Ovis aries: one gene and its partners. The protein of the gene in region 6 purifies or fractionates together with the protein of the main gene of each other region. This does not show direct contact. Links are inferred from orthologs where the notes say so. Each region holds a gene or a part of one and is shown on either strand. Other genes may lie near its edges.

The links.
Region 1: the proteins of WDR77 (region 6) and LSM4 purify together in Homo sapiens (affinity purification with mass spectrometry; 3 studies listed by BioGRID and IntAct, with this or other methods). This does not show direct contact. The link is inferred for Ovis aries from reciprocal best matches to the Homo sapiens genes WDR77 and LSM4.
Region 2: the proteins of WDR77 (region 6) and COPRS purify together in Homo sapiens (affinity purification with mass spectrometry; 3 studies listed by BioGRID and IntAct, with this or other methods). This does not show direct contact. The link is inferred for Ovis aries from reciprocal best matches to the Homo sapiens genes WDR77 and COPRS.
Region 3: the proteins of WDR77 (region 6) and SNRPD3 purify together in Homo sapiens (affinity purification with mass spectrometry; 3 studies listed by BioGRID and IntAct, with this or other methods). This does not show direct contact. The link is inferred for Ovis aries from reciprocal best matches to the Homo sapiens genes WDR77 and SNRPD3.
Region 4: the proteins of WDR77 (region 6) and SIRT7 purify together in Homo sapiens (affinity purification with mass spectrometry; 3 studies listed by BioGRID, with this or other methods). This does not show direct contact. The link is inferred for Ovis aries from reciprocal best matches to the Homo sapiens genes WDR77 and SIRT7.
Region 5: the proteins of WDR77 (region 6) and CTDP1 fractionate together in Homo sapiens (co-fractionation; 3 studies listed by BioGRID and IntAct, with this or other methods). This does not show direct contact. The link is inferred for Ovis aries from reciprocal best matches to the Homo sapiens genes WDR77 and CTDP1.
Region 7: the proteins of WDR77 (region 6) and GAR1 purify together in Homo sapiens (affinity purification with mass spectrometry; 3 studies listed by BioGRID and IntAct, with this or other methods). This does not show direct contact. The link is inferred for Ovis aries from reciprocal best matches to the Homo sapiens genes WDR77 and GAR1.

The regions. Positions count from the first base shown.
Region 1 is NC_056058.1:4,695,288-4,698,593, reverse strand, and holds the end of LSM4 (U6 snRNA-associated Sm-like protein LSm4), read right to left. Parts: intron 3,195-3,306; coding exon 3,011-3,194; intron 1,196-3,010; coding exon 1,104-1,195; 3' UTR 560-1,103; downstream 1-559. UniProt on the Homo sapiens protein: Plays a role in pre-mRNA splicing as component of the U4/U6-U5 tri-snRNP complex that is involved in spliceosome assembly, and as component of the precatalytic spliceosome (spliceosome B complex).
Region 2 is NC_056064.1:18,000,734-18,005,026, reverse strand, and holds the start of COPRS (coordinator of PRMT5 and differentiation stimulator), read right to left. Parts: upstream 2,844-4,293; 5' UTR 2,806-2,843; coding exon 2,707-2,805; intron 133-2,706; coding exon 81-132; intron 1-80. UniProt on the Homo sapiens protein: Histone-binding protein required for histone H4 methyltransferase activity of PRMT5.
Region 3 is NC_056070.1:71,547,522-71,551,852, reverse strand, and holds the start of SNRPD3 (small nuclear ribonucleoprotein Sm D3), read left to right. Parts: upstream 1-1,485; 5' UTR 1,486-1,601; intron 1,602-3,462; 5' UTR 3,463-3,480; coding exon 3,481-3,606; intron 3,607-4,331. Other genes in the region: protein GUCD1, read right to left, coding at 1,141-1,345. UniProt on the Homo sapiens protein: Plays a role in pre-mRNA splicing as a core component of the spliceosomal U1, U2, U4 and U5 small nuclear ribonucleoproteins (snRNPs), the building blocks of the spliceosome.
Region 4 is NC_056064.1:50,478,322-50,482,118, forward strand, and holds the end of SIRT7 (NAD-dependent protein deacetylase sirtuin-7), read left to right. Parts: intron 1-578; coding exon 579-986; intron 987-1,069; exon of another isoform or gene 1,070-1,118; coding exon 1,119-1,199; intron 1,200-1,382; coding exon 1,383-1,489; intron 1,490-1,935; exon of another isoform or gene 1,936-2,021; intron 2,022-2,591; coding exon 2,592-2,790; 3' UTR 2,791-3,264; downstream 3,265-3,797. Other genes in the region: PCYT2 (ethanolamine-phosphate cytidylyltransferase), read left to right, coding at 3,623-3,711. UniProt on the Homo sapiens protein: NAD-dependent protein-lysine deacylase that can act both as a deacetylase or deacylase (desuccinylase, depropionylase, deglutarylase and dedecanoylase), depending on the context. Specifically mediates deacetylation of histone H3 at 'Lys-18' (H3K18Ac).
Region 5 is NC_056076.1:861,572-865,137, forward strand, and holds part of CTDP1 (RNA polymerase II subunit A C-terminal domain phosphatase), read right to left. Parts: intron 3,410-3,566; coding exon 3,268-3,409; intron 2,696-3,267; coding exon 2,495-2,695; intron 1-2,494. UniProt on the Homo sapiens protein: Processively dephosphorylates 'Ser-2' and 'Ser-5' of the heptad repeats YSPTSPS in the C-terminal domain of the largest RNA polymerase II subunit. This promotes the activity of RNA polymerase II.
Region 6 is NC_056054.1:88,869,523-88,873,778, reverse strand, and holds the start of WDR77 (methylosome protein WDR77), read left to right. Parts: upstream 1-1,396; 5' UTR 1,397-1,477; coding exon 1,478-1,592; intron 1,593-1,843; coding exon 1,844-2,029; intron 2,030-4,064; coding exon 4,065-4,206; intron 4,207-4,256. Other genes in the region: ATP5PB (ATP synthase F(0) complex subunit B1, mitochondrial), read right to left, coding at 775-811, 1,088-1,127. UniProt on the Homo sapiens protein: Non-catalytic component of the methylosome complex, composed of PRMT5, WDR77 and CLNS1A, which modifies specific arginines to dimethylarginines in several spliceosomal Sm proteins and histones.
Region 7 is NC_056059.1:16,020,131-16,024,167, forward strand, and holds the start of GAR1 (H/ACA ribonucleoprotein complex subunit 1), read right to left. Parts: upstream 2,849-4,037; 5' UTR 2,760-2,848; intron 1-2,759. Other genes in the region: PLA2G12A (group XIIA secretory phospholipase A2), read left to right, coding at 3,085-3,280. UniProt on the Homo sapiens protein: Required for ribosome biogenesis and telomere maintenance. Part of the H/ACA small nucleolar ribonucleoprotein (H/ACA snoRNP) complex, which catalyzes pseudouridylation of rRNA.

The DNA of each region.
Region 1 (3,306 bases), on a different chromosome or scaffold from region 6:
CCAGGTAGACCTCACATCCATAGGAACCAGCCTCTTAACACCAGGCTGTCCAGGAATATCGGTCAAAGGACCACATCGCCGGAAGTGTTCCGCACAAGTGCTGGCTCAGCGTCTCAGGCAAATCGCTGAGTCGCGGACAGGCAAGTGCCCCGACCCTAAGAGGAGGTAAACAGTTCGTGAAAAGCCTTCCTCATGTGTTCCTGGAGGCAGCTCCATGTCACGGCTTCTCAGGGAGCTCTGCTGTGAACAGTGCTTGCACAACAGAGATGGAGGCTGAGGACAGGCAGTGTGGGTGTCCCACTGGCTCCCACCCACAACTTCCCTCCCCCACCGCCCCACAGAGGGGAAGGGGCTCCCCTACTGCCCAGACCCCCATTTTGCCTTCCACCTTTTGTAAGAGGCTGCTGAGGGTCATGGGAACCAGTGTCCCATTGAAATGCTTCCCCTTGGTGAGAGGCCACAGGGGGCAAAAGGAAACTTCTTGCGTGGGGGCTGTGATTTCCTGAGGACACTACAACTAGATTCACCCAGTGGTTCAAAGGAATTATGGATTTCGCAGTTTGTAGTTGTATTTGTTTTTATTTTTCTAAGACAAAGAGGGAGAGAAGAAGGGACGGAATAGGGCCCAGCATCATCCCCCAGAACAGCTTCTGAGGCATACGTTTGCCTGGATCCATTTCGAAAAGGCAGTTTCAGGGTCCGTGTTTCAGGAGACCCTCCAGGCTATCAATCTCAGTGCAAACAGCTGAAAATAAAAACCTCCCGTCTGTTTACCACACAGAATGCAAAACAAACCTGTTTGGAAAATGCCTGCCCTTAAAACAAGAGTGAGGGCTTTAACGATGCATTAAACACAGAATCTTCCAGGAATCCAGTTGGCTGCGGCTTCACAAAACCAGAAGCACAGAATTAACATTTCCAACCATAGAACTGCTGGCTAACAAAAAAAGAGGAGGACCACCAGAGGACAGGCAGGGGGTCCTCCCCGACCCCTGCCTCTTCTTTTTGTTCTGAACAGTCATAAACTGGAGACCAGGAATGCAGCCTCAGGGTGGGAGCAGGTGCTCGGCGCGGCAGCTCAGTCTCGGGAATGGAGGGGCGGCTCACTGTTTGCCCGCCTGTCTGCCTGGCTTCTTTTCTGGTTGACCTCTGCCAGTCCCAGGGATCCCACCTCGGCCCCGGCCACCGAACACACCTGTGAGACAGGAGGGGGGGTTCAGTAGAGCCAGGCTGGGAGGGTCACTGTGGGCAAGGACCAGGAACTGGAACCCTTAGACTATAGCCAAGTCGTTGAACCCCTCTGAGCCTCAGCTTTCACCTCTGTAAAGTGGGGGCAGTGACTGTACCGTCGGTGGGAAGAGCAGGTTGAAAATCTGAGATGGAGTGTCTGACCAGGGCTGGGCAGGGGTATTGCTCCACAACATTCTCAGTGTGACAAGGGATATCAGACCAGGCGCCCCAGGGGTGCGAAGGATGCCAAGAAGGACAGAGGTTGGCATCAAGTCACACTGGGGCTTGCGGGGGCGGCGGCGGGGGGGGGGATATGCTTCCTGGAAGAGAGGGCTGAGGGCCAAGGTGAGGGGGTGGGTAGTCATCAGCAGGACAAAATCAGAAGGGTTTCCAGGAGGAGCTGGGAGTACAAGCTAGGATGAGGCCTGGACTCAGCCCAGGGGTGGAGCAACGATGCTCAGCTCTGTGACTGGGGCTGCACCGGGGGACCCCACCCTGCCTTGCTGAAACAATGGGGTGGGGTGGGGTCTCTGTGTGTCCAGCCCAGAGAAGGGGCGGGGGAGCCTCCTGAGCTCTGACCTCTGCAGCCAGAGGTGGGGCTGTTTCCGAAAGGCATTTTACGTGGAGCACACAGCACTGCTGCTGGGGAAGGTGAATAGCCCAAGGGTGGGTGCAGCCCCTGCCCAGGAAGTCACAGAAGCAGCAGCCTGGCCTTCCAGGGCCCCCTTCCTCCACACGCATACAGGGGACAGGGCCAGGGCTGACAGGGTCTGCCCAGCCTCATCTCTAATGGAGCAAGACCCAGCTTGGGCAAGGGGAGCCTGGTCATGCAGGGGCCCCTATGCAAGCGCCTCTCCCTGTCCTCCCTGCTCCTTCAGGCAGTTTACTCGACAGCGATGGCACCCTGGGTGGGCAGCCTAGCCCTGGGGGCAGGTCCTGGGACCTCTGGGGCCCTGCTCACCCCCATCCTAGGTTCTTCTCCACCTGCGGTGCCCTCTTCTCTCTGGCTCCTTTCTGTCACTCAAGCCTCAGCTCAGGGGGGCTCCTATGTCTTTCCTGGCTCTGCATATAAGCCTCCAGGGTGGGTTCCTGGAACCTGGCATACAAGCCCCTCCAGGTGGGTGAGACAGAAGTCGGGTGGGGGAGGGTGGGGCCCACAGCTGGCCTCTGGGCTGCGGCTCTAGCTGACTGCACGTTTAGTTTTATGCAAGATTTATGATTTCAGGGTGGTGCGGGGTGATCTACCCAAAAGGCGTGACCTTGGTTTTGTCTAAAGGAGTCACAGCAGGGAAGGGTCCCAGGCTGGGCACCACGGGGATCTTCTCCGCAGGGGGGAATCTGAGCCTCCCCGAGGTGCCCAGAGCACCTGCCAGGAAACACAGGTGGGGCTCAAGTCCCAGGTCTGTGTGGGTGCTGGGTTAGTCTGCTGGGCGGCATCTGGAGCTGAGGGAGCACCAAGAGCCACTGCGGGGAGGAGGGCCCATGTTGTGAGGATGGGCGCGGCCAGCACTGACCACTAGGGCTTAGCTGGGCTCCTGGGGTGGGGGACACGGGGCATGCAGGTGGCAACCAGCAGCACCAACTGTTCCACAGAAGAGCCCCGTGAGTCACAGCCCCCCAGTGCCATGGAGGAGGGGCGCAGAGCCAGGCCCTCGGCAACATGACGCCACCAGCGGAGAATGCCAGCACTGGGCCAGGCCAGATGCCGCGCGCGGCAGTCACGCTCCAGCGGGGAGGCCCCGGCTGCCTGCCAGGGGAGAGGGCGGAGAGAAGGGCCTACCTCGCCCGGCGCCCCCCATCCCGCGGCCCTTCTGCTGCTTCTGCTGCTGCAGGCCACCGCGGCCACGGCCCTTGGCCACCACCTCCTCCTTGACCATGTCGATGATCTCGTCAGGGATGCGCAGGTACTTGATGGTGCTGCCGCGGATGTAGCACTCGGGCATCCGCCAGAATTTGTCCCCGTCCTGCAACAGGGGGTACGTGTCAGAGCCGTGGGGAGGAACGTGTAGGCAGCCGGGCAGCATCCATCCACTCAGGCTCCCTGTGCCTGGCGTCGCCCCCGCAGGGTACGAGGCC
Region 2 (4,293 bases), on a different chromosome or scaffold from region 6:
TTCTGGCAACGATAAGCTTTCACAGTACAGACTTCCTTGGTCTCTCCCAAGAGCCACCCCCGCCTCTGTCGCCTACTTGCCTAGCCGATCTGTGGCGTTCTCAGGCGCTCTCTCCTGATTGGAGTGGTCAGCCTGCAGGAAGAAGAAACAAGGACCCAGGACTTGGATATCTCGGGAATGGCCAGTATTTCAGCCCCATATCCACCCTTTCAGACCCTCCTTTGCGAGGCTGGGGTGGGACCCTGCAACCCACATTTCTACTGTGCCCTGTTACATTGGGACTTGCTGCTTCCCATTCCTGTGGGCATCACCCCTGCCGGCAGGATCACCTGCCTTCACAGAGTGCCTACTGAATCCAGTGTACAGGCTGCCAGCACATACAGAGCCAGTCTCCTCGCTGGGCCCTATCTTTTTTTTTTTTTTTTCAATATGTATTTGGCTGCACCACCTCTTAAGCTGCAGCACTTGAGATCTTTAATTTTGGCATGTGGGATCTAGTTCCCTGACCAGGGATCAAACCCAGGCTGCCTGCATTGAAGCGTGGAGTCTTAGCCACTGGGCCACCAAGGAAGTCCCTCACCAGGCCCTGTCTTGAGAGGTCTGGTCTCCTCCTCCAAGCTCAGAGACTCCAAACTAGCCAGGACAGCACCCCGTCCTCAGAGGCTGGAATTTCAGCTCCCTGAAATTCTCCTCTGAGCTTGCACATTTTAGTCATTCCAATCTCACCCCTTTGTTCCCTCAGCCCTGGGGCCGGTTGCTGTTTCCCTGCAGTGGATACCTCCATGTTCATTTTTACCTTAACTTTTTATCTAGCTAATAGCTCTTTTATCAGATTTCATCTCCTGACTGACACAGGAGGACTAAAGAGCTTTAGCTGTTCAAGGGAAATCAGCGGTTGACAGGAAATCGTCTTCCTTCATAGCCATCGCTAGGTTTCTCTGCTCCCACCGCGCAAAAGTTCTGAAATCCTGTGACTTCCCTGGCAATCCAGTGGCTAAGACTCCAAGCTTCCAATGCAGGGGGCATGGGTTCAATCCCTGGTCGGGGAACTAAGATCCCATATCTGGGCAGTACGGCCAAAAACAAAAAAAGAGTTCGTTCCTGAAATCCTATCACCTGTGAAGATGTCTTTCTAAGTGAGGCGAGAAATGTTCACAGCCTGCATGAGAAGGCGTGACTTCAATCCCATTCACTCAGAGTATACCTGGGACACATCACTTCAGCCACCATGCCTGGGTTTCTGTCTCTGGAAATTGGGGACAACTGTTCTAACCCAGCAGGAGGTTTATAATGAGATAACACTGATGAAGACACCTAGCACACAGCAGGAATATAACATTTATTGAGCTGAAACCCACCTTCTTTGCCCCTATATTTAAACTGTACTTGGCACCTGCTCGTTAGCTCACAACCTAGTCCTACCTGGATTTAATGAGCTAATTCCATCTCCAGTAGTCGGTGACAATTCCCGGTCACCCCTGCTGACCAATAGTGGGACTTCTCACCTCTTCTATTGCAAGAGCTCCTTAACTGCCTTCCCACTCACCCACGTTTTCTTTTTTTTAATTTGGCTGCACCAGGTATTAGTTACAGCATATGAGAGCCCCCACCAGGGTCCCCTGCATTGGGAACACAGAGTCTTAGCCACTGGACCACCAGGGTCCCACACTCATCCATCTGGCCACAGCCTCACACTGGAAATCACCACTCTGCCCAGAAACCTCAACAGGCCTCCACTGCTAGAGTACAAAATTCGCCATGGCATCCACATTGTCCCTTCAGGCTCCATCAACTTGTGCAGCACAGTTCTCTCTCCAAGCTCCCAACCATCTGCCCTGCACATCCTCATCTCCACGCCTCTGCCACGACCACTATCCTCTCATCTTGGAGAGGAAGTGCAGGAACCTTCCTGCTGTGGCCTGCCAAAATCAGTCTCATCCTACCTGCCCGGTAAAGTAATATTCTTTATAAGCCTACCACTACATTTTTCCTATCTTATTTTGGTTAGGATGTCTCTGATGCTTAGATAAGCATTCCTCTTCCATCCAGTTAATAAATATGCGTGTGTGAAGTGCCAGGCACTACGCTACGCACCGGGTTTTCAGCACTAAATAGAGCGTTCCTACCCTCAAGGAGCTCACCGTCTAAAAGGGATTATTGAACAAGGGCAGGACATGACTGTAATAGCAGTCTTTCAGAAACCGGGAGCTGTCTGGCGCGCAAAAGAAAACAAGTTTCTAGAAACCCTGCGTCAAACGCGGCCTTTTGGTTTCAGTGAAAGGAGAGCGCGCAGGAGCCATCATCCGGTGCTCCGGCTTAGCTGAGCATCCCCACCATGGGACACGGATCCTTCAGGGAAAGTAGCTCTCCTCGCAGCCCTCACCTCGCCCCAGCCCAGGCCCCCGAGCAGCAGCCCCAGCTCTCGGTCAGCAGCATCACCTCCCATTTAGCAAGGACGCAAAGGCGCCCTGGAGCCAACAGCCAGCTCTCCCAGCCCGGCGCGCCCACCCACGTCCTCGAGGTTGCCCCGCCCCACAGTCCCGCGGCCCGGCTGTTTCCAGCTCGGGCGCGCGCCCAAACGGCCGGGCTGCCCGAGGAGGGCCGGGAGCGCTTCCCCGGTTCCATGGCCCACGCCCCGCGAGCCCCCGCAACTTCCCGCCGCCGACCGCAGGTGGTGGACGCGCCCAGGCCCCGCGCCGCGCTCACCCCCGGAATCGGGGGCGCCTCCCGCCCGCTCGGCAGCTGCAGACCCCGCGGCTGCTCCGCGGCCCCCAGCGCCTGGGCCCCGGCGGTCGGAGGGTCCATGCCTGTCTGCCCGCGGCTCGGCGCCCAGGTCGCCGCTCGGCCACGTGACGCGCCGGCCTGGCTGCCGGCCCGAGGATACGCCGTTGAGGGCCAATCAGCCTGGGGTGCTCTCGGCCGGGGGGCGGGGCGCGGGGGGTCAAGAGGGAGCCAGGGGCGGGGCAACGGACGGGGCGGAGTAAGGGGCGGGGAGTGCCCGCCTCCGAAAGCCTAGTCCACCCAACCGTCCTGAATCTTAATTTTTGTAGCCACTGGCGATGCAGGTCCCAGGGCTAGAGGACTAGCTGGGTCTGGAACGCCTGAGTGTTACCCCTACCCAATCACAATTGACATGCTTTCCTTCAAAACCCGTTCAGTTCAGTTCAGTCGCTCAGTCGTGTCCAACTCTTTGCAACCCCATGAAAAGCAGCACGCCAGGCCTCCCTGTCCATCACCAACTCCCAGAGTTCACTCAAACTCAACTCCATCGAGTCGGTGATGCCATCCAGCCATCTCATCCTCTGTTGTCCCCTTCTCCTCCTGCCCCCAATCCCTCCCAGCATCAGAGTCTTTTCCAATGAGTCAACTCTTCCCATGAGGTGGCCAAAGTATTGGAGTTTCAGCTTCAGCATCAGTCCTTCCAAAGAACACCCAGGACTGATCTCCTTTAGGATGGACTGGTTGGATCTCCTTGCAGTCCAAGGGACTCTCAAGAGCCTTCTCCAACACCACAGTTCAAAAGCATCAATTCTTCGGCTCTCAGCCTGCTTCACAGTCCAACTCTCACATCCATACATGACCACTGGAAAACCATAGCCTTGACTAGATGGACTTTTGTTGGCAAAGTAATGTCTCTGCTTTTGAATATGCTATCTAGGTTGGCCATAACTTTCCTTCCAAGGAGTAAGCGTCTTTTAATTTCATGGGTGCAATCACTATCTGCAGTGATTTTGGAGCCCCAAAACATAAAGTCTGACACTGTTTCCCCATCTATTTCCCATGAAGTGATGGGACCAGATGCCATGATCTTCGTTTTCTGAATGTTGAGCTTTAAGCCAACTTTTTCACTCTTCTCTTTCACTTTCATCAGGAGGCTTTTTAGTTCCTCTTCACTTTCTGCCATAAGGGTGGTGTCATCTGCATATCTGAGGTCATTGGTATTTCTCCCCGCAATCTTGATTCCAGCTTGTGCTTCTTCCAGCCCAGTGTTTCTCATGATGTACTCTGCATATAAGTTAAATAAGCAGGGTGACAATATACAGCCTTGACGTACTCCTTTTCCTATTTGGAACCAGTCTGTTGTTCCATGTCCAGTTCTCAACTGTTGCTTCCTGACCTGCACATAGGTTTCTCAAGAGGCAGGTCAGGTGGTCTGGTATTCCCATCTCTTTCAGAATTTTCCAGTTTGTTGGAAGTCAAAACCTGTTAGAATAGTCAATTGACCTGCATCTACCTAATAGTGCATAAGAGTTTAAAAACTTTTTATGCAATTGTAGCTCTAATCCCATTTTA
Region 3 (4,331 bases), on a different chromosome or scaffold from region 6:
CCCCACCCCCCAGCAAAGGAACTCAGGCGCTGGGGAAGGCGGGACTAGAGAAGGAAGACTCCGTAGCAAGACAACAGGCAGGAGTCTGGGAGGCCAGGGGCAGGCTGTCCCTCCCTGCCCTGCCAGTTGCCTGCCCCGTCTAAGGCCTCAGTTACCGGAGAGGGGACAGGCTCTCCCCAAAGCAGCTCCAAAGAGGACTTTTCGCTCCAGGGAAAGGTGACCCCTCCCCCCGCCCCGGCCGCTCAACCAGGACCCTCCTTCCCTCCATGACCGCAAGCGAGAGATGCCCAGGGGTGTCCCTGCTCAGGGAGTTATCAGGAAAAACAAACAAACCCCAACTGACCGTAGCCGGCCCGGCGGGACCCGCCGGAGCGCACACCTGCCCAGGTTTTGCTCAGAGCTCAACAGCCGGGGCCGCGGCGGCGGTCGGCCCAAGGTCGCGCGGCCGGACCCTGCCCGGCGCTCGGGCGGGGTTCCCCCCCAAACTCGATTCCCAGGCTGAGGGCTGCCCCCCAACCCTGATCCCGGATCCCCGATCCCCAGGGCCCTGCCCCGCGCCCACCGCGATCCCCGGGGTCAGGGCCGCCCCCCGATCCCCGGGGCCCTGCCCCGCGCCCACCGCGATCCCCGGGGTCAGGGCCGCCCCCCGATCCCCAGGGCCCTGCCCCGCGCCCACCGCGATCCCCGGGGTCAGGGCCGCCCCCCGATCCCCGGGGCCCTGCCCGGCGCCCACCGCGATCCCCGGGGTCAGGGCCGCCCCCCGATCCCCGGGGCCCTGCCCCGCGCCCACCGCGATCCCCGGGGTGACGGGGGGACCACACTGACCGGGCTCGAGCGGCGGCCCCGCTGCCTGCGCGTCCACCTCCGTCCTCATGACCCGGGCGGCGCGGGGCTCCCATGGCCCCGGCCCGGCGCGGGCTGCAGCTCTGGCGTCGACTGGGGACGGGAGCGCGCGGCCGGCGCGCGCCGGCTCCCCGGGCGGCCAGCACCAGCGCCCCGGGGGGAGCGGGGGCGGGAGGCGGCGGCGGCCCCAGGCCCCGCCCCGGCCCGCCCCGGCCCGCCCCGGCTCCCACGCCGGCGGCCCCCCGGCCCGCTGCTCCGGGTCCCCGCTCTCCCTGTCCGCACGCCGGGGGCACTCGCCTCGCTCGGGGCACCCCTTCCCCGGCGCCGTCGGCTTCCCAGGCTTCCCCTGCGGGGGCAGGTCCCGGCCCCGGGCCCCCGCCGCCGCCGCCGCCCGCCTCGCTGTCCAGCCCGCGTCTGGCGTCGGGCGCTGGGGACCGCGAGTCCCCCTCGGCCCGGGCCGGCCCGAGGGTCGCTGTTTCCGGCGGCACCTGGGTCCGGTCATCAGCCCCGCTCTTCCCCGGGCCCGGAACTATTGTACCCGAGCTCGGGTTCCCCAGCCGGCGCGGTAAGGATGAACGCGAAGGCGAGAGACGTCGCCCGCCGCCACTCGGGTAAAGGAAGGGGGCGGGCCCTGCGCGAGGCATTTTGGGAACGCGTGGTATTCTGGGAGCGCGCGGCCCGCCATTCGCGCCCTCACGCCTTCGCAGTCGCCGGAGTTCCGTCTGCCCTGCCGCCTCTGAAAGAGGAGCCCGGAGCCGGTGAGGACGGGGCCGGGGGTGCGGGGAGGGCGAGGGCTAGGCCGAGGTCCCGCGGGGGGCCGGGGGGCTGGAGGAGGACGCGCCGCCGAGGAGCCCTGCGGTGCTCGTGGAGGGAGAGCCGCGGGGAGCTGGGCCACCCCGACCCCCAGCGGCGCCTCCCAAGCGCCTGGAGGTGCGTTCGTTAGCTTTTTCCCCGAAGTACTTGCTCTTCGGTTTCCGAACCTCTCCAGGCCGGTGTTTCTCGAAGTATCCAGGCAGTGGTCTTGAGATCGTTCCTGGCTGGTGGCCACCTTCCCCCCAGATCCCTACTTGGCTGATTTCTTTTCAAAGCCCTTGGCATCTCTGCCTCCCTCCCCCTTCCAGGACCTGATCCCCTAACGCTGGAAACACAGGTTATCACATTTCCTTGCTTCTGTCTAAATCGTGTTGCAGCGTCTTGTAACTCCGGCTGCCCTTCCGTGGGGTAGTCTCTGTGCTGCCCCGGTTCCCCCAGCTGCGGTTCAGCGTTGTCCTCAGCAATGGAACCTGTTTTTTCCTAACCTCTCCCGGTCCTTTTCCTCTCTTTCGACCTCCTGCTGCGTGTCAACCGAAAAAATACCGCCACCTAAAAGCTGAGAATTAGGTTTATTCGGTGGGAATCATGAGGACTCCGAGCCCGGAAGACAGGATTTCAGGCGACCCCTGGGAGAGAGAAATGTTGGGTGGGGTGGAGTCAGGCTACAAAGAAGTTTGCAGCAAGGGGCAGGTAATCTGAATATTAAAAGATGACTGTTGAGTAATGGAGACCAGATCTCCGGCCTGAAGAGATTTAATACTTTTCTGTTCTTTGGGAAGATGCAAGAGTCCGGGCTTCCTGAAATCTTTTCTTTCACATGCATCTCAGCTATCTGGGGCCAATTCCTGCTTTTCGGCTGTTCACAGCCTAATTCCTCCTTTACCCTAAAGTTAAGGTACGAGGGACCGCCTCTTGTGCTTCTGACATCCCCCAGCTCCTCAGCACTTACAGGAAGTAACGGACAGCTGCCAAAAAGCCAGTATGGTTTTTACCTGGGCTTAAAAATTTGCATTTGGAAGGCTGGAATACCAGATGGCTGCGACGTGCCTTGATTACTGGAGAGCAGAAAGCATTTCATTTTACAGAAGTTTTCGTTTTATACACCCGTCTTGGGATTGAAAAAATCCACTTGCTTTTTTTCTCTCTTAATTAGATCAAGTCGGGGTTCTCCCTGGTTATATTTTCCCTCCAGGGTGAGCGTTTCCCACTTGTAGCACGCCGCCACCTTGTGAACACTTGGATATTTTCTCTTTAGCTTAATGGTGAAGTAAGTAGACGGTCAGAGTGCTTAATGGGTTGAATTAAACGCACAGCCCCGTCTGAGCTTCCCAGATGGCGCTAGTGGTTAAAAAGACCTCTTGCCAGTGCAGGAGATGTAAGAGACGTGGGCTCCATCCCTGGGTGGGGAAGATCCCCTGGAAAAGGGCGTGGCAGCCCACTCCAGTATTGTTGCCTGGAGAATCCCACGGACAGAGGAACCTGGTGGGCTACAGTCCATGGGGTCGCAGAGAGTCAGAAAAGCGACTTAACATGCGCACTCAAGAGCCCTGTGGTGGAAGGAAGATGGGAGGCAGCTCTTTCCCGTCAGCTTTCCCCCTGTTGAGGCCCTGTTCCTCCCCACTCACACCCTGCACGTGTTTGCCAGATGGGTCCTTCAAGCTCAGAATTCAGCTAAAAAAAAAACTAGTGCACCTCTGGCAACTTTGCTGAGTTTTCCAGAGTGTCAGCCTTGAGGGGTTGTGGTGTTTGCACATGCGTTCTTGGGCGTCGGAAGATGAGCTAACTGCTGTCTCTCTCTCACCGCAGAACTCTCTTCCTGCCGGGATGTCTATCGGAGTGCCGATCAAAGTCCTCCACGAGGCCGAGGGCCACATCGTGACGTGTGAGACGAACACTGGCGAGGTGTATCGGGGCAAGCTCATCGAGGCGGAGGACAACATGAACTGCCAGGTGCCCTGCTCTGTGCGGGGCCGGGGCGGGCCGGAGCCTCGGAGGGCAGGGCGCGGGCGGCTGGGGCTCCTTGAGGTTCTTGCTCAGCGGTGGTTCACCGAGTGCCTAAGCTGTGCCAGGCCCTATTAGAGGTGCCAGAGAGGCGGGCATCAGTGAGAGCCTCTTGGAGGTTGAGAATATGAAACCTAGAATCTGACTGTTTAGATTGCTCGTCCTTCGCTGCTCCCAGTCCCGTGGTTGTCTTCTCACGGACTTTGGGCCCATTTAAGAGAAGCAGCACAGCCTTCCGGAGGAGGCAGTGGCACCCCACTCCAGCGCTCTTGCCTGGAAAATCCTGTGGACGGGGAGCCTGGCGGGCTGCGGTCTGTGGGGTCGCACAGAGTCGGACACGACTGAAGCGACTCAGCAGCAGCAGCGCAGCCTTCAGCGGAGCCGTCAGGCTCAGCGCCCCCGCCCCGCACAGCGCGTTTGCACAGTGCTTTGCAGCTAGCAGAGTCTTCGCTCGCATACTCTGGGTATTTGCCATTTTCCTAGCAGAAGCACCTCGTGTGACTGCACTCGGAGCAAATACTTGGCCAAGCAAGCAGGTTTGGGTGATAGTTTTATCCATGAAATGGGAAGAATGAGATTACGGGACTCACCTGCTGAATATCGCTCTGCCAAGACGTGTTGGACCCACTGCTTGGTGCGCTTCCCTTCCCACGGCGCGTGAATTCGCATGGCAT
Region 4 (3,797 bases), on a different chromosome or scaffold from region 6:
AGTTTAGATTCTGGTTTGAGCTGCCATCTATTCCTCCTGTGTTTCCATTCCAAGAGTAGAGGGCAGCCTATTTGCTGAATCATCATCACACAGAGAGTCCACCTAGGCCCTGAGCTCGCGAGGGTAGCCCCTTCCTCTCGGGTTTCTCTTGCATTTTCCCACAGACCTCAGGAACCACCTAGATAACAGGGCAAACTAGTAAGAAGTCTCTGGAGATCCTCCGCTAAGCACCTGTTGCCAAATGGGAGAGGGGTCCAACTTCTAGGGCTTCAGGGACCTAAAGCATCAGTCTGGGTCCCCAGCCCCTTTTCAGCCAAGAGGAGGTGGTACAAACATTTGCCCTCCTGGGAGCTCCTAGTACTTCTGAGTCGTTGGGGGTGGGCCTGGTGCCCTCCTCATCAGAGCCTCCTGGGTCCTGCTGCGACCAGCCTGCTGCTCTGGATTTGCCTTTGGTGCTTTGTGCAAGGTTGTAGCTTCTGCTGGGCTGGGGGCTCTGGGACTGGCAGGGTTTGGTATGCTTTGACACCTGAGTGCCACCCCCCACTTCCTCCTGCTGACCGCCACTGTTGCCCCTCCAGGTGCAGCATGTGGTGTCTCAGAACTGCGACGGGCTCCACCTGCGAAGCGGGCTGCCCCGCTCAGCCATGTCGGAGCTCCACGGGAACATGTACATTGAAGTGAGCGATCCCTCAGGGACTCGGGCCTGGGCAGGCCAGCGGCTCCCACTCACGGGCCCTACTTTTCCTCAGGTCTGCACGGCCTGCACTCCCAATAGGGAGTATGTGCGGGTGTTTGATGTGACGGAGCGCACTGCCCTACACCGGCACCAGACCGGCCGCACTTGCCACAAGTGTGGAGGCCAACTCAGGGACACCATCGTGCACTTTGGGGAGAGGGGGACGCTGGGGCAGCCTCTGAATTGGGAGGCAGCCACCCAGGCTGCCAGCAAAGCAGACACCATCCTGTGTTTAGGCTCCAGCTTAAAGGTATGCAGATAGCACCATGGATGGGAATGGGGTGAACCTGCCTGCATCTGGTCAGCTCAACCTTAGACCCCATCTTCCTGTAGCCTCCTTATCTGGGTTGTGTGTCGTCTGTCCGTCTGTCCATTCCTGCAGGTTCTAAAGAAGTATCCACACCTCTGGTGTATGACCAAGCCCCCCAGCCGGCGGCCCAAGCTCTACATTGTGAACTTGCAGGTAACTCAGGTGCTCAGAGCCGCCTCCTCAGACCTGGGCCTTAGAACAGGAGAGCCAGCCATCCCTAGGACATCTGTGTCCCACAGTCATCCACTGTGGAGGTCTGGCTGAGCAGAGCCCAAGGCCAGCAGGCTGTTGGGAAGGAGTGAGGTGCTGTCCTCACTTACCTTCTCCTGTCCCCAGTGGACCCCGAAGGATGACTGGGCTGCCCTGAAGCTGCACGGCAAGTGTGATGACGTCATGCAGCTCCTCATGGATGAACTGGGCCTGGAGATCCCCCGTTACAGCAGGTGAGGGGTACAGGCGCGTCCCCCACTTCCCTGCCCCGTGTGGATGGGCCGTGTCTGTCGTCCTCTGTGAGCTGAGTGTAGAGAAAGCTCTGAGGTGTGGCAGCTGGCATCTAAGGCGTGACTGTGGCATGGTGGCCTCTGCAGGGCCCAGCCCCAGCATTGGCTGAGATGTCCTGGCTGGTGTGATTCCTGCGGGGAGAGGGAATCTGCCAGGGTATGCCTGGATGTCCCCCCTTCCCCTCAGGCAGCCTGGACGGGAAGGTGCCTTGAAGGGATGTGCTCTCAGCAACTCTGCTCTTCAGGATCTGGGTGCACTTGGCTTGGGGAACTGGAATACTTTGGGGAAGCTTAAACAAATTGTGGCTTGATACAGAATTTGTGATAATTTAGACGTGGTGTGTGTATTGAGTAAAAAGTTTACACTTTCTTTCTCTGTGAATTTCCAGGGTCTTATAGGGGAAATCAATAACTTCTTTTAATCAAAGGGTTCAAGAATTAAGGATCCCTTCACCTTCTGGGCCTGGCAATTCTTGTATGTTATGTTTGTGGTGTTCTGTAATGTGGGCCTATTGTGTACTGTACTTTTTTTTTTCACATTAACTTAGCTCATTTTCTTTATCAGTGCTTATCTGTATCTTAAGTTTATAATATGTGGTTCTACATCTCAGACACATGATCTCGTCACGGTGTAGTGTTTAGGCCACGCCTCCCTAGTCAGCTTTCCTCCTGTCAAGTCTGGGAAGGGGAAGAGGGTCTGGTCTGCCTGTCCCTGGCCTTATGAGTGAAAGGTGGGGCCCAGGGTTGGCTAGTGACTCATCCTTCCTGGGGTTAGTGCCTCCCCAACCCCTGTGTGCACAGCCCCCTCAATCACCAACGAGGAGTGAGTTCTGCAGAGGACAGGCTAGTCTGGGTCCTGGCCTTTGAGTTATTGGGGGAACTTACCTCTCTCACAGATGTTCTGGAGCTACCACTGAACACAGCCCAGCCATGGTTAAGACACGGGAGGGATGCAGGGTGACCTCAGTCAGCTTTCCCGTCCTGGGGCGGGTTGTGATTGCGAGGGGCTCCATGGCACACCTGACCCAGCTTTCCCTTTCCGTAGGTGGCAGGACCCCATCTTCTCCCTGGCGACTCCCCTGCGTGCTGGTGAAGAAGGCAGCCATAGTCGCAAGTCACTGTGCAGAAGCCGAGAGGAACCTGGGCCTGGGGACCGGGGTGCACCACTTAGCTCAGCCCCCATCCTGGGTGGCTGGTTTGGCAGAGGCTGCACCAAACGCACAAAAAGGAAGAAAGTAACGTAACCTGGTGCTTGACCAAGGACAATGATGGCACTTTGAAAATGGCCGGGACTCTTATTCAGGGGCAGGTGGCACCATTAATGCCAGGACTGCCCCCTGAGAATTATCTGGGGGTGACATTTTCACCCTGACATGTTTAGCCATTTGTCCTCGTGGGAAGCCCCCTTGCACTGCTGTGGTTGTCCCCTGCATGAGCCTTGCTCAAGCGGCCTCTTCCTAAAGAGGTGGCAGTCACACCCTCTGTGATAACAGAACTCCGGTTATTTCACATCTGGCCAGCTAAGAGGAAGCACAAGGCTGCCTTACCTCATTCACCAGGCCAGTCTCAGGGGCATCAACCCAATTTCTACTACTTCTTACTGAAAATGTTAAGTTTATAGAAGCCTTTTTCTGTATTGAGTATGCTGCAAAGGGGTGATTTTTGAGCCTTGGCTCTCAGCAGGCCTTTTTATTGTTATTAAACATCTCTGCACTGTCTTCCCCGTGTCATCGACTACCTTCCTGAAGCGGTGGGTGGGAGCAGGCGCCTGCCGAGACTCCTGAAGGGGCGGGTGCGCCCCACGTGGTCCTGCCCCGCCCCTCTGCCAGGTGGGCGCTAAGGGATGCTGGACACAGGTCATTGGCCGGGAGCGGAGGGGCGGAACCCGGCTCGAGTGGGGTTGCCCATTGGCCGCATGTGTGGTGAGAGGGCGGGGCTTCGCGCCGGGGGTGGGGCGGCGTTCGCCATTGGCCGCGCGAGGCGGGTGAGGCCCGCGTGACGGCGCGTGCGTGCGCGGGCTGCGGCGGCTCGGAGTCGGGAGCCGGCTGCACAGTGTCTCGCCGCTGCCCCCGGGCCATGATCCGGAACGGGCACGGGGAGGCGGGCAACGCCAAGCGGCCGGGCCCGAGGGCTAGGCGCGCCGTGCGAGTGTGGTGCGACGGCTGGTGAGCGCGGCGGGGGACGCGGGGCGGGGGCGGGGGTGCGGCGGCGACCGCTGTGGCCGCTTTCGCCGGAATCGGGCCGCCGGCGA
Region 5 (3,566 bases), on a different chromosome or scaffold from region 6:
GGAGAAGCAGAGACACGCACACGTTTACAGCGGCCCTGTCTCTCAGAGTCCAGAGCTGGACATGCCCCCGGTGTCCGCAGCGAGTGGACAGTCACAGAAACTGCCGCACCTCACACCACGACGCCCTCTGAGCAGTCGACACAGCGACGCTGGGGCAGAGTCTCCAGGGAGCCGAGCCGGGCGGAGCTGCCAGCCCACCAGCCCGTGCTCTCGGACGACAGGACAGGGACGGGCACAGACCAGGGGGGCCGTGGGAGGTGGTTGGGGGAAGGGGGCCAGCGGGAGTGGGCAGGGCAGCTGGGGATGGCAGGGGGCCCAGAGGGGGTGGCCACTCCAGGTCTGGACCGTCGGGATGGGCGTCTCAGCTCGATGCGGGCAGCAGGTCTGGAGATGTGGGCACTGGGGGGAGATGGTTAAAGGGTCCCTGGGCTCTCTGCCATTTCTGTTAACTGCCTGTTCCCCCACAATCATCTCCAAAGAAAACCTATACTAAAAAAAGACAAGACATTCACAACTTGCAGCATTCAGCTACGAAGGGGCATAGAAGAAGCTGTTTCAGCGGCTGACCCACTGGGAGACACGTGTGAGGCATGCTGCCGTGGCCCCGACCTCGCACCCTGCTCTCCAGACACGGCCCTGGCCCAGCGACGCCGTGGAGCTGCGCCTGCCACGCAGGCAGCCTGGACCTGGGCCCCAGCCCAGCGGCTCTGAACGGCAGCTGCTCTCCCCTCCACAGTCCCAGCAGCGACCTACACACGGAGATCCTGGTGAGAGGCGCTCCACCCATGTTCCCCAAGGACCTCTGACTCCAGGCCCCTCGCGGGCTGGCACCTTAGCCCAGAACCAGAACATCAAAGCAGGAGCTCCCGAGACTTACGACTCCCAAACAAGTATCAGACGGAAGCAACCGCCCAACAGCTGTGGTGTCCGGTCACAACCGGGTCTGCCCTGGGGTTCCGGATCAGAACACGCCGGCATGCTGCCCCCGGGAGTGCAGCCCACCCTGCCCTCCGCACACGTGTGGGCAAGGCGCCATGTCCAGGAAACAAGACCGGAAAGGGTGGATGGCCCAGGGGGTGGCCTGGGCTGGACGCTCGGAGGCGAGCCCTGCACCCCGTCAGGCTCACCCTCACAAGGAGGAACCTCAGCGACGGAGCTCACTGCAACACTCTGGAGAGCAGCTCAGTGGGGCAATAAGTACACAGCGAGCACGCGCCACGCTGCGACAAGCGAGACACGCCACACAAAGACACGCCACGCGCGCGAGGAGCTGAGTACACAGCGCGCACGCGCCACGCTGCGACAAGCGAGACACGCCACACACGCGCGAGGAGCGGCAAGACCAGCGCCACAGAACGAGAGCCCCGTGAAGCTTCTGGGATGACAGAACACAGAGCTGCACCCCAAAACCCAAACGCTGTTTAGGATAAGCTACACCAGCTACTCTAGAAACACTGGGCCGCTTCTGTCCAGATGGCGCGCCCTCCACAGACACACACTGAGGCCAGCGCAGCTCCAGGGCCCTCAACCCACCACCCGAACACCTGCTCTCCGTCAGGGAGGACCTAACAGAGAACGCGACAATCACCTCAAAGAAAACCCCAGCAGGCCACCCAGTGTCCACATGCCCAAGGAGCCAGCACCGCTCGGCCGGCAGCACGGGGCCAGCGTCTCCTGACCCAGGCAGTGACGCAGCCCTCTCACAGCGACCGCCACCCAGGAGGACCAGGGCAGAGCTCCCAGAAGCCAGCCAGGAAGAAGCATCGACTCAGGATGCGAGGCGACGGCCAGTGAGGTGGAGGCGGGTCTACAGGGCTGCAGCGGCCAGAGACGTGTCCCAGCACAGTCGTGTGTCCGAGATGGGCCAGGGCTGGAGGCTGCCGGGCAGGACCACAGGGCTCAGCGAGCCTTGGGCGAAACAACAACAACTGCCCCATTTATCAGAGTCAGAGATGTCCACGACCTTTAACCCAGCCAGAAAGCAACTCCACAGGAACAAAAGCACCACACAGGCTCACGACGCGTCTATCGAAACGATTAAGTGTCACATCGTCATGAAAAAAAAAATCAAAGCTCTATCAGTGACCACGCTCTTAGTTTCAAATAACAAAACCACCAACCAACACCTAACTGAAACTGGCCTCAACCAGCGAGTATACTGTCTGTCCACAGCTGGAGCCCAGCAGCAGGACAGATACACAGCCTAGTCTCCAGGGCCCATGTGCCTGCGCAGGGCGGGAGCTGCTCCTGACAGGCCCGCCCTGTGTCCCAGAGATGCAGCCGGCAGGGCAAGGCAGGAGAGCCAGGGCTGCCTCCTGCTCCCTCGCTGACCCTGGGCAGAGGAGGGCCACGTGCCCGTCCAGGCAGAACCACACCTCCTCAGGCCCAGCCCCGCACCAGATGGGAGACCGTGCACAAGGCCTGCCCCACACGCAGCCTGCTCCTCGAGGCCGGCCGTGGCTCAGGGATACCTCCCCGCGAGCGGGTGGAGTACCTGAAGGAGGAGAGCCCCGCGTGGGGCAGGGCGCCAGGTGGCCCAGGGCCCGAGGTGGCTGTGCGGATGAGCTTGCCCGTGCTGGCATCGTAGATCCGGACTTCAGGACCAGGCGGGGCCTTGGGGTGCACGGGTGTTGGGTGGAACAGGGCGGCGGGGAGCAGGCTCTGCCTGTCAGGGAAGGACGCAGGGCCATCCTCCCTACGGAAGAGAAGGAGGGCTGTGAGAGGGGCTGGAACCCACGGGACCCCGGCAACCCCTCCCGCTGGGACGTGACTCTGCAGGGGGCACACGGTTCCTGGTCAGGCCTAAGGCTCTGCCGCGGCCTTGGATCCAAGGCAGCACTCCCGCACTGTCTCTCAGGCTGTCTGCAGCCCTGCCTGTAAACCCAGCGCCTGATCTCATGCAGGGGGCGCCCGCCAGCCCGCTCTCCCCACACTGTGGCCCACGCACCTCTGCACCCACCCTCCCCAGCCACCACCTCCCTCCACGCTGGACTCTGCAGAGACCCCGGGACTTCACAGAAGCATTCCCAGCCTCGAAACACCTGGAAACCAGGAATCACGGCGGAATGCCGTCTCATGTCTTAGAAGCAGCAATTCTGCTCCTTCTCCAGGTGGTACCAGGGAGAGGGGCTCTCGGTGACAACCCGCTCGGCGGGCACAGGGGAGAGACTGATGGGCGTCTCCGCAGACGGGAAGCCGCCGGCTGCGAGGGCTGAGCAGGCCCGCCGCCCACATGTGTTTGTCAGGGACTGGGCGCCCAGAACTCACCTCTGCGCCCTGCCCTGGTCGTCACGCAGTGGGAACAGCTGCTCCTCCACCCTGTCCCAGCGCTCCAGGCAGCTCCACAGCCAGTCCGGGTTGACCACGTGCAGCTGCCCGCATTCCTGGGCCTGGCGCACCTTCTCCGTGCCTGCGAGCAAACTCGATCCACTCAGAGCCACGGTGAGGGGTGGGGGCGGGAGACCCTCAGGGCAGCAGGGACAGAGGGGCGGGGCTGCGGGGCAGCACGGAGGGCCGGGGCTGCTGGGGCTGGGGCGGGGTGGGGGGGGGAGAGGGGCACGGAGGGG
Region 6 (4,256 bases):
ACGTCCCTTAATTCTCATAATCCATAACAAACTGTTCTCTCTATTTTGCGTATGGAGAAATTAAGGTCCCACAGCTTGTTAAGCAGAGGAGCCAAGTTTACTCTCAGCTTCGGAGTCCTCATTGTAAACTGCTCTATAGCTACCTCCTCTGCTGTGTGAAGGTAGGTACTTAACCATATAATTTCTTTAGTTTTGGTTATGGAGGTGCAAGATAAATATTTGCTGAAACACTGAATAATTTCTCTGATCTGACAGTAAAATTTGGAATCTGGGAGACAGATTAAAAACTACACGTTTCATTTTTCAATTTAACAAAACTTGCCCTTGGATATGCAATCTAATGGCACCCCACTCCAGTACTCTTGCCTGGAAAATCCCATGGACGGAGGAGCCTGGTACGCTGCAGTCCACGGGGTCGCATAGAGTCGGACACGACTGAAGCGACTTAGCAGCAGCAGCAGCAATCCCGATACAGGTTGCGGCAGCTCTGTCTAGCTGAAGGTCACAAGGGAGAGGGGCGGGGCTCAGGAGACACCAAAACCAGTTTCTAAACAGTTTAGTTAGCACACATTACTTTTTCTCTTAACCTCTACTATTAGATGATACAATAGTGTTCCAGGCAGTTACAGAATCACACGTGAATTAGACGTTAAGCGTTCCAATATAACCAAAATGAAGGTAATTATTGGCTTAAAGCTAAAAGCAGATTAACCCAGAAGTGAAATGAGGTGATAAAGCAAGGGCCAAAGGAAATATTACATCCCTTACACTTACCCTGGACCGAGGAAGGCTGCGTTCTTCAGAGACGGGGCTACAAAAATACGAAGCGTAGGTTAGCAAGGTCACGGTGAAATCTGGTTTGCCCCTTCCTCGGCCCCACAGAGCTCAATCACTAAGGCCATGTGTCCTCCATTCCTACCCCCAGGACCCCACACTCACCTTCTGAGCGGCGCTCCTCACTCTTCACTCAGACCCAAGTCTCACTGCGCTTTTCTTCACGCCCTTTCCTCCCACCCGCTCCAAGCAACCACAGACGCCTTGTTTTACAATCACCCTGCTATCCAGGACCAGGGTGTGTACTTCTCACCTGCTGCGGCGGCGGCAGAAAGTACCACCCGGGACAGCATTGTCAGGTAGCGTTCGCACAGCAATCTTCCCGCCCCAGTGACCCCGACAGAAGAAACTGTCAGGGACAGAAGCAAGATGGACGCTCACAAGTCTCGCGAGAAGAGAACTTCGTGCCCTCTCCGTCAACTTCCCGTCTTTTTACCCCTCGCGATAAGAAGCAGAGAGCCGGTTGCGGGAGGGTGCAGGCGGGAAAGCCGGCTGGGCTCTTAGAAGCAGCTCTCGCGAGATGTAGGGAGGCTGTAACTTGCCTAGAGGGGCGGAGGCCGGAGAGGAACCACGTGGGGACTCCTGGAGCTGAATCTCAGGCGGGCATCCAGTCTGGGTCTAGATTGAAGTTGGAACCGTGGAGATGCGGAAGGAAACACCGCCGACCCTAGTGCCCCCGGCAGCCCGGGAGTGGAACCTTCCCCCTAATGCTCCCGCTTGTATGGAGCGGCAATTGGAGGCTGCGCGGTACCGGTCTGGTGAGCCTGGGTCCTAGGCCGGGGAGTTTCCTTATCCCACCCCGGAGTGCCCCTTCCTGGGAATAAACCTTCCAGCCCGCACCTCGATTCCCCCGCTTGCCAGCCTGACCCCTGCTTCGCTTCGCTGAGCTCACCCCAGCCGTGCCCCGCGTTCCCGGGCTCGGGTCCAGATGCATCTAGCGGGCTGCTGGGCGGTTACCAGGGAAACGAGCCTCTCCACTCCTCATGCTGACATCTTGTATCTCCTTTAGATGGGGCGCTTCTGCTTGGGGCTTCCAGCCTGAGTGGCCGCTGCTGGGCTGGCTCTCTCTGGCTTTTCAAGGACCCTTGTGCCGCTCCGAACGAAGGTTTCTGCTCTGCTGGAGTCCAGACGGAGGCCGGAGTGGCTGACCTCACTTGGGTAGGGGACCGAGGTATCCTAGTGGCTTCTGATTCAGGTGGGTCACTTGCTCCTCAGCTGTACAGGTGGAATGGAGGTCGGGCTGGGCTCAATTTTTAATGTCCCATACTCGGTGAAGGGATTCCAGGTGAGATGCTTCAAATCCTAAAAGATGATGTAGTTAAAGTGCTGCACTCAATATGCCAGCAAATTTGGAAAACTCAGCAGTGGCCACAGGACTGGAAAAGGTCAATTTTCATTCCAATCCCAAAGAAGGGCAATGTCAAAGAATGTTCAGATTCACACGATTGCACTCAATTCACATGCTGGCGAGGTAATGCTCAAAATCCTCCAAGCTAGGCTTCAACAGTATGTGAACTGAGAACTTCCAGACGTTCAAGCTGAATTTAGAAAAGACAGAGGAACCAGAGATCAAATTGTCAACATCCACTGGATCATAGAAAAAGCTAGAGAATTTCAGAAAAACATCTACTACTTCATTGACTTATGCTAATGCCTTTGACTATGTGGATCACAGTAAACTGTGGAAAATTCTTAAAGAGATGGGAATACCAGACCATTTTACCTGATAAACCTGTATACAGATCAAGAAGTGACGGTTAGAACTGGGTGTGGAAAATTAGAACTGGACAGGTTCCAAATTGGGAAAGGAGTATGTCAAGGCTGTTTATTGTTACTCTGCTTATTTAACTTATATGCAGAGTACATCATGGGAAATAACAGGCTGGATGAAGCACAAGCTGGAATCAGGAGAGAGATCAATAACCTCAGATATGCAGATGACACCCTTATGGCAGAAAGTGAAGAGTAACTAAAGAGCCTCTTGATGAAGGTGAAAGAGGAGAGTAAAAAAGCTAGCTTAAAACTCAACATTCAGCAAACGAAGATCATAGCATCTGGTCCCGTCACTTCATGGCAAATAGATGGGGAAACAATGAAAACAGTGGCAGACTTTATTTTCTTGGGCTCCAAAATCACTGTGGATGGTGCCTGCAGCCATGAAATTAAAAGACGCTTGCTCCTTGAATGAAAAGCTACAATAAACCTAGACAGCGTATTAAAAGCAGAGATATCACTTTGCCCACAAAGGTCCAATATAGACAAAACAACTTTTTTTTCTAGTCATGTATGGATGTGAGGGTTGGACCATAAAGCAGGCTGAGTGCCAAAGAGTTAATGCTTTGGAACTGCAGTGCTGGAGAAGACTTTTGAGAGATCAAACCAGTCAATCCAAAAGGAAATCAACCCTGAATATTCTTTGGAAGGGCTAATGCTGAAGCTGAAGCTCCAGTACACTGGCCAACTGATGCAAAGAACCAACTCATTGGACAAGACCCAGATGCTGGGAAAAACTGAAGGCAGGAGGAAAAGGGGACGACAGAAGATTTGATGGTTGGATGGCATCACTGACTCATCAATGGACATGAGTTTGAGCAAACTCAAGGAGTTAGTGAAGGAGAGGGAAGCCTGGTGTGCTGTAGCCCATGGGGTCACAGGGAATTCGATGTGACTTAGAGACTGAACAATAGCAACAACATACTCCTTGCTTGGGGGAGCTTGAAGGTTTTGGTCCCAAAGGAGAATAACTGTGTGGGTAGGATATACCCGTCCCAAGATTCCAAATTGGTGGAAATTTCTAGCAAAATTCATAACAAAATTAAGACATGAATGAAACTGTTTTTCTCTGTATCCACCCAACATCAAGGATGATATTGATCTTAAAGATGATGCTGAAACCAGTCTATGCTCTTTCCATTTCTTCCCAGTTTCTTACATGTCTTCATTCTGCTTTCTTTGTTTTGAATGTCAGACTTAGTGGAAAAACCAGTGGAGGGTTTCATGTTTAAAAAAAAAAAAGAATAGAGGTGTTGGCAGGCATTGCATGGAAGGATAAAGCTGGGACAATTAATGTCCAAATAACTGGGACTATTTAATAATACTAAACTGTGTGCTGTTCATATCATTGTGGAGGTGTCATCCTTGTCTCTCAAGAACTTAGCATCCTAGAAGTGAAGTGCTGTCTTGGTGTAACCCCAGCTTGTTTCCTTCACCGTCTTCCCCACCCTCAACAGGTGCTGTTGAATTGTGGGAGCTGGATGAGAATGAGACGCTTATTGTCAGCAAGTTCTGCAAGTATGAGCACGATGACATCGTGTCTACAGTCAGTGTCCTGAGCTCTGGCACACATGCTGTCAGTGGTAGCAAAGACTTCTGGTGGGTCCCCACTCTCATTGCTCCTGTTTCTGGGCCTTCTTTGGGTGTCT
Region 7 (4,037 bases), on a different chromosome or scaffold from region 6:
GAATGTGACCATTTTCATACTTCCACTTCTTCCTCTTTGGGCCAAGCCAAAATAATATCTTACCTAGTTTATTATGTCTTAACTGGCTTCCTGGCTTCAGCTCCTGCCCAATCCACAAGCAAAGTGTATATAGATAAAACTAGCCATTTGCTAGCAGGAAAGATCTGGAAGCCATGGGTTTGCAACCAATAGTATATGTCACAATAAATACAGGCTTTCCTGATTAGATGAAAGTGTCCTGTAAAGGAGGCTCTTTTCAAACATTCTAAGCTAACTAGGGGGTCACAATGAGTCGGACACAACTGAGCGACTGAACTGAACTGAAGCTAACTAGTTAGAAGAAAAGATGGAGGTGGGTCATCTAGGAGTTATATGATATTATCAATCAGGCCTGGCTTCATGAGCAAGCATCCTGTGCATTTGCACAAGACCCTGGACTCAGAAGGGTTTCAGACTATATCTCCCATTAACACCCTGAAATTCTTAATAATTTTTGAACAAGGAGACCTGGATTTTCACTTTGTGCTGAGCCCTGTATGATCAGCCCTGATTATGTGGCTGATCGGGTGATCAATGCTGTACCGTGGTATCTGACAGCAGGAATTGAGAGGAAAAAGCAAATCTTGGAATCACTACAGCAGAACAAGTATCTAATGACTGACTATGAAGAGAAAGTGAAAATAAAACTTAAAATCTTATTTTCTGAGAAGATGGCAGCGATTTCCATGAAGAACATACTATAAAAGATTTGTTAGAGAAAAAAAGAGATCTCTATCAGCCAGAGGAAATGGAGTTTCAGGATTTAACCCCTAAGGAAAGCTGAGACAAAGAGGACAAAATCTGAATTCGCAGAGCTGGGACTGTATTTGTTGTTGTTTAGTTGCCAAGTCGTGTCTTTTGCAACCTCATGGACTGTAGCCCACCAGGTTTCTCTGTCCATGGGATTTCCCAGGCAAGAATACCTTGCCATTTCCTTCTCCAAGGGATCTTCCCAACCCAGGGAATGAACCCATGTCTCCTGCATTCCTAGGTGAATTCTTTACCGCTGAGCACCCTGGGAAACCTGAGGTTGCATTTAGAGTATAAGAAATTAGGTAAGATTACCAGGAATACATATACAGAAAAGGTATAAAGGAGAGACTTGGGGCATCTATAACAGGGCTGGAACCAGGTAATATTGTTATATTTTGTCTTTTCTTTTTGAAGACTTATTCCTATACCACCAAGTTTCTCTGAAAGAACCAAGCCTGGTCAAGGGAGCCAGGTGGGACCTCAGAGGTACTGTAGGACAACACCCACACTTTAGAGATGAGAAACCCAAAGCTTCAGAAAGCAGACCAAAAAAGAACTCTGTGTTTCCTTTTCCCAGCTCTTGAAATGTGCTGTCCAAAAATTAATTAAAAAAAAAATCTTTGACATCTTGTACGGCAGAAAGAGGTCTTGGGTATTTGCTGGCGGTCCGGTGGTTAGGACTCTGCTCTCATTCCGCAACTGGTGTGAAAGAGGCCTTGATTTGACTGGATCCTATCACATGACTTCTCTGTAGGCACTTGAACTCCCCTACTGTAAAAAAGGTTAATACCCCTCAAGCACGTTTCTCCTCTTCCTCCACTGTGGTTTGAGTTGATCACAGCCCTGAGGTTCCTGGCTGACTGAGCATCTGAAGGCAGACTTAAGCCTGGCTGCTCCCAGTAACCTAGCCTTGGGGTAGGCTCACAGATCAGCCGGGGAGGGACGCCCTTTTCTGGTTCTAATTTGTCCAAAGGCTGTATTCCTGAAAAGTGTTGAGTGTAAGAGAGCGAGTCTGTAAAGTGCCTGGCACAGAGTAAGCTCTAAATATAGACACATACAATTCTTATGAACTCTGCATTGCACATTTATTATAAACTCATGAAGCTTAACAAACACAAAACGCCAAGCTAGAATTATTGGTGTAATTCTTATAAAGGTCACATCCATTCTCAACACTTGCAGTATTACCCTGGATCTTATTGTAAAATTCTTGGAAATTGCCAGGATACTAAAATAACTAGGTATTTATAGCTCTGCTAAAAACTACTGCAATTGTTATTTCAGGATGCTGCACTGCGCTGGGATTAAAAATACAGGGAAACGTCACTGGAGCCATGAAGCTACACCATATCTTCAGTAGGAAAATTGTGGGTTTTTGTTTTTAATGCTTTCAAGTTTATAGCATGGCTTCTTCCCTATTACGGAAGAAAACTCGTGGTTTTTATTGTCAAACCATTTTCTTCTAAAATTTCTCAACCAGCATCTACATTGTCAGCCAGGCACCCCAGGGCCTGGGTTAACATGTTCCAGTCCCCACCCCCGAACCGCGGCCACCGCAGTCCAAGAAGACCGGTGAGGACCCAAGACCCGGAGACTGCCAATCTGAACTCTCATCCCATGTATCACGCAGAATCACGGTTTCAAACCCCAGATTCAGCTGGTTCCCTCGCAACGCTCTCTGCAAGGGCCTACTGGGGCTTGTTTCTCCGACGCTGTCTACACCCTGAATAGCTTGTCGCTCGGCTCGTGATGGCTGGGCCGCACACCCCCAAGTCAGAGGAGGTCACGGGGGTTCACCACCTCGCTACACCCTTCAATTACCCGAAGAGCTTTCAAAATATAACAATGCCCACTGACTCCGGGATGAACTTAATCAGCCTGTCTGGGATATGGGGCCCGGCATGGTATTTAGTTAGTACAACCAACCTCTAAGGTAGTACTAACGAGCACCAGGTGGTACCGCCTACCTGGCCACTCGGGAGAACCTCGCCAGCTGGGAGGCAGCCGGGGTCACTCGCCTTCCCACCTGCCCCGCGCCCCCGACGCACCACGCTCCGCGCAGGCGCACAGCGCAGCGGCCGGCCCGGGTCCGCGCGTGCGCCTCGCCCGGCGTCTCCGCCGCGGCACGGTCTCCGGGCCGGAGAGCTCATTGCGCGCGGCGAGCCCCGCCTCCCAGCCGGGCGCGGGGCGTGGGCATGGAGCCCGCCCCTGCCTAGCCCCGGACCCGCGCCGCTGCCTGGGGCGCGCCGACGTCTCCGTGGGGTGGGCCGGGCGCGGCCTGGCGCTGCGCGGATGGCCCTGCTCGCCGTCCTCCTGGTCCTCTTCTTGACCGCCGCTGGGAGGTGCCAGGAGCAAGCCCAGACCACCGACTGGAGGGCCACCCTGAAGACCATCCGGAACGGCGTTCACAAGATTGACATGTACCTGAACGCCGCCCTGGACCTGCTGGGAGGCGAGGACGGGCTCTGCCAGTATAAGTGCAGTGACGGTGAGGGGGACCCCAGGCCCTGCGGGGCCCATGCGTTCGGGGCTATTGGGAGGACTGGGGTCGTGGAGGTGTGAGATGTCCGGCGAACCTTGTCGGTGTCTTTCTGGCCCTGGATTAGAAAAATGTAAGCACTGCTAGGATCTTGCCTTTCTTGTGATTGAGCAACCTGCTGATAAATTCACACCATTGCTTTTAGAATGTGAGAGGTCGCCTGAGAGTACTCGGCATTCTGTTTCATTGCATCTGAATTACGTTTTTGTGTTTTTTGTTGTTTTTTTTTGCAATTGCCTGATGACAATTGCCTAAGAACTTAGTGACATACACTTCATGGGGATGGAGTGAACCAGACTGATTTTAGAGCCTTTAAATTAGCTGACTATGCAAAACATAGGGAGAATTTTCAAGTCATGCTGTTTTATGATAACTTTTTCAAGAATTGGTTTAAGTTTTAAAGCTACAGAAAATAAATTGCGACCTTTGTACAGGCTTTGGTGTACTTTATTGTTGAGAAAGAGTTCCAATTGACTCTTCTAGAACGATTCTATCAATACTTGATGGGAATTTTCTTTAGATGTCAGTGACCTGCTTTCTCATTGTTGGTTGCTATTAATATTATTCTTTTGATTTTTTCATATTTTTAAACTCGAATTCTGTTTGAATCTGAGAACTTGTTTGGTGTCATTGTTGGTGATAACTTGGTATTTCAGGCAGAGATCTTTCTTTTGAAGTCCTTGACTTTTTTGAATGCCTAAATGCT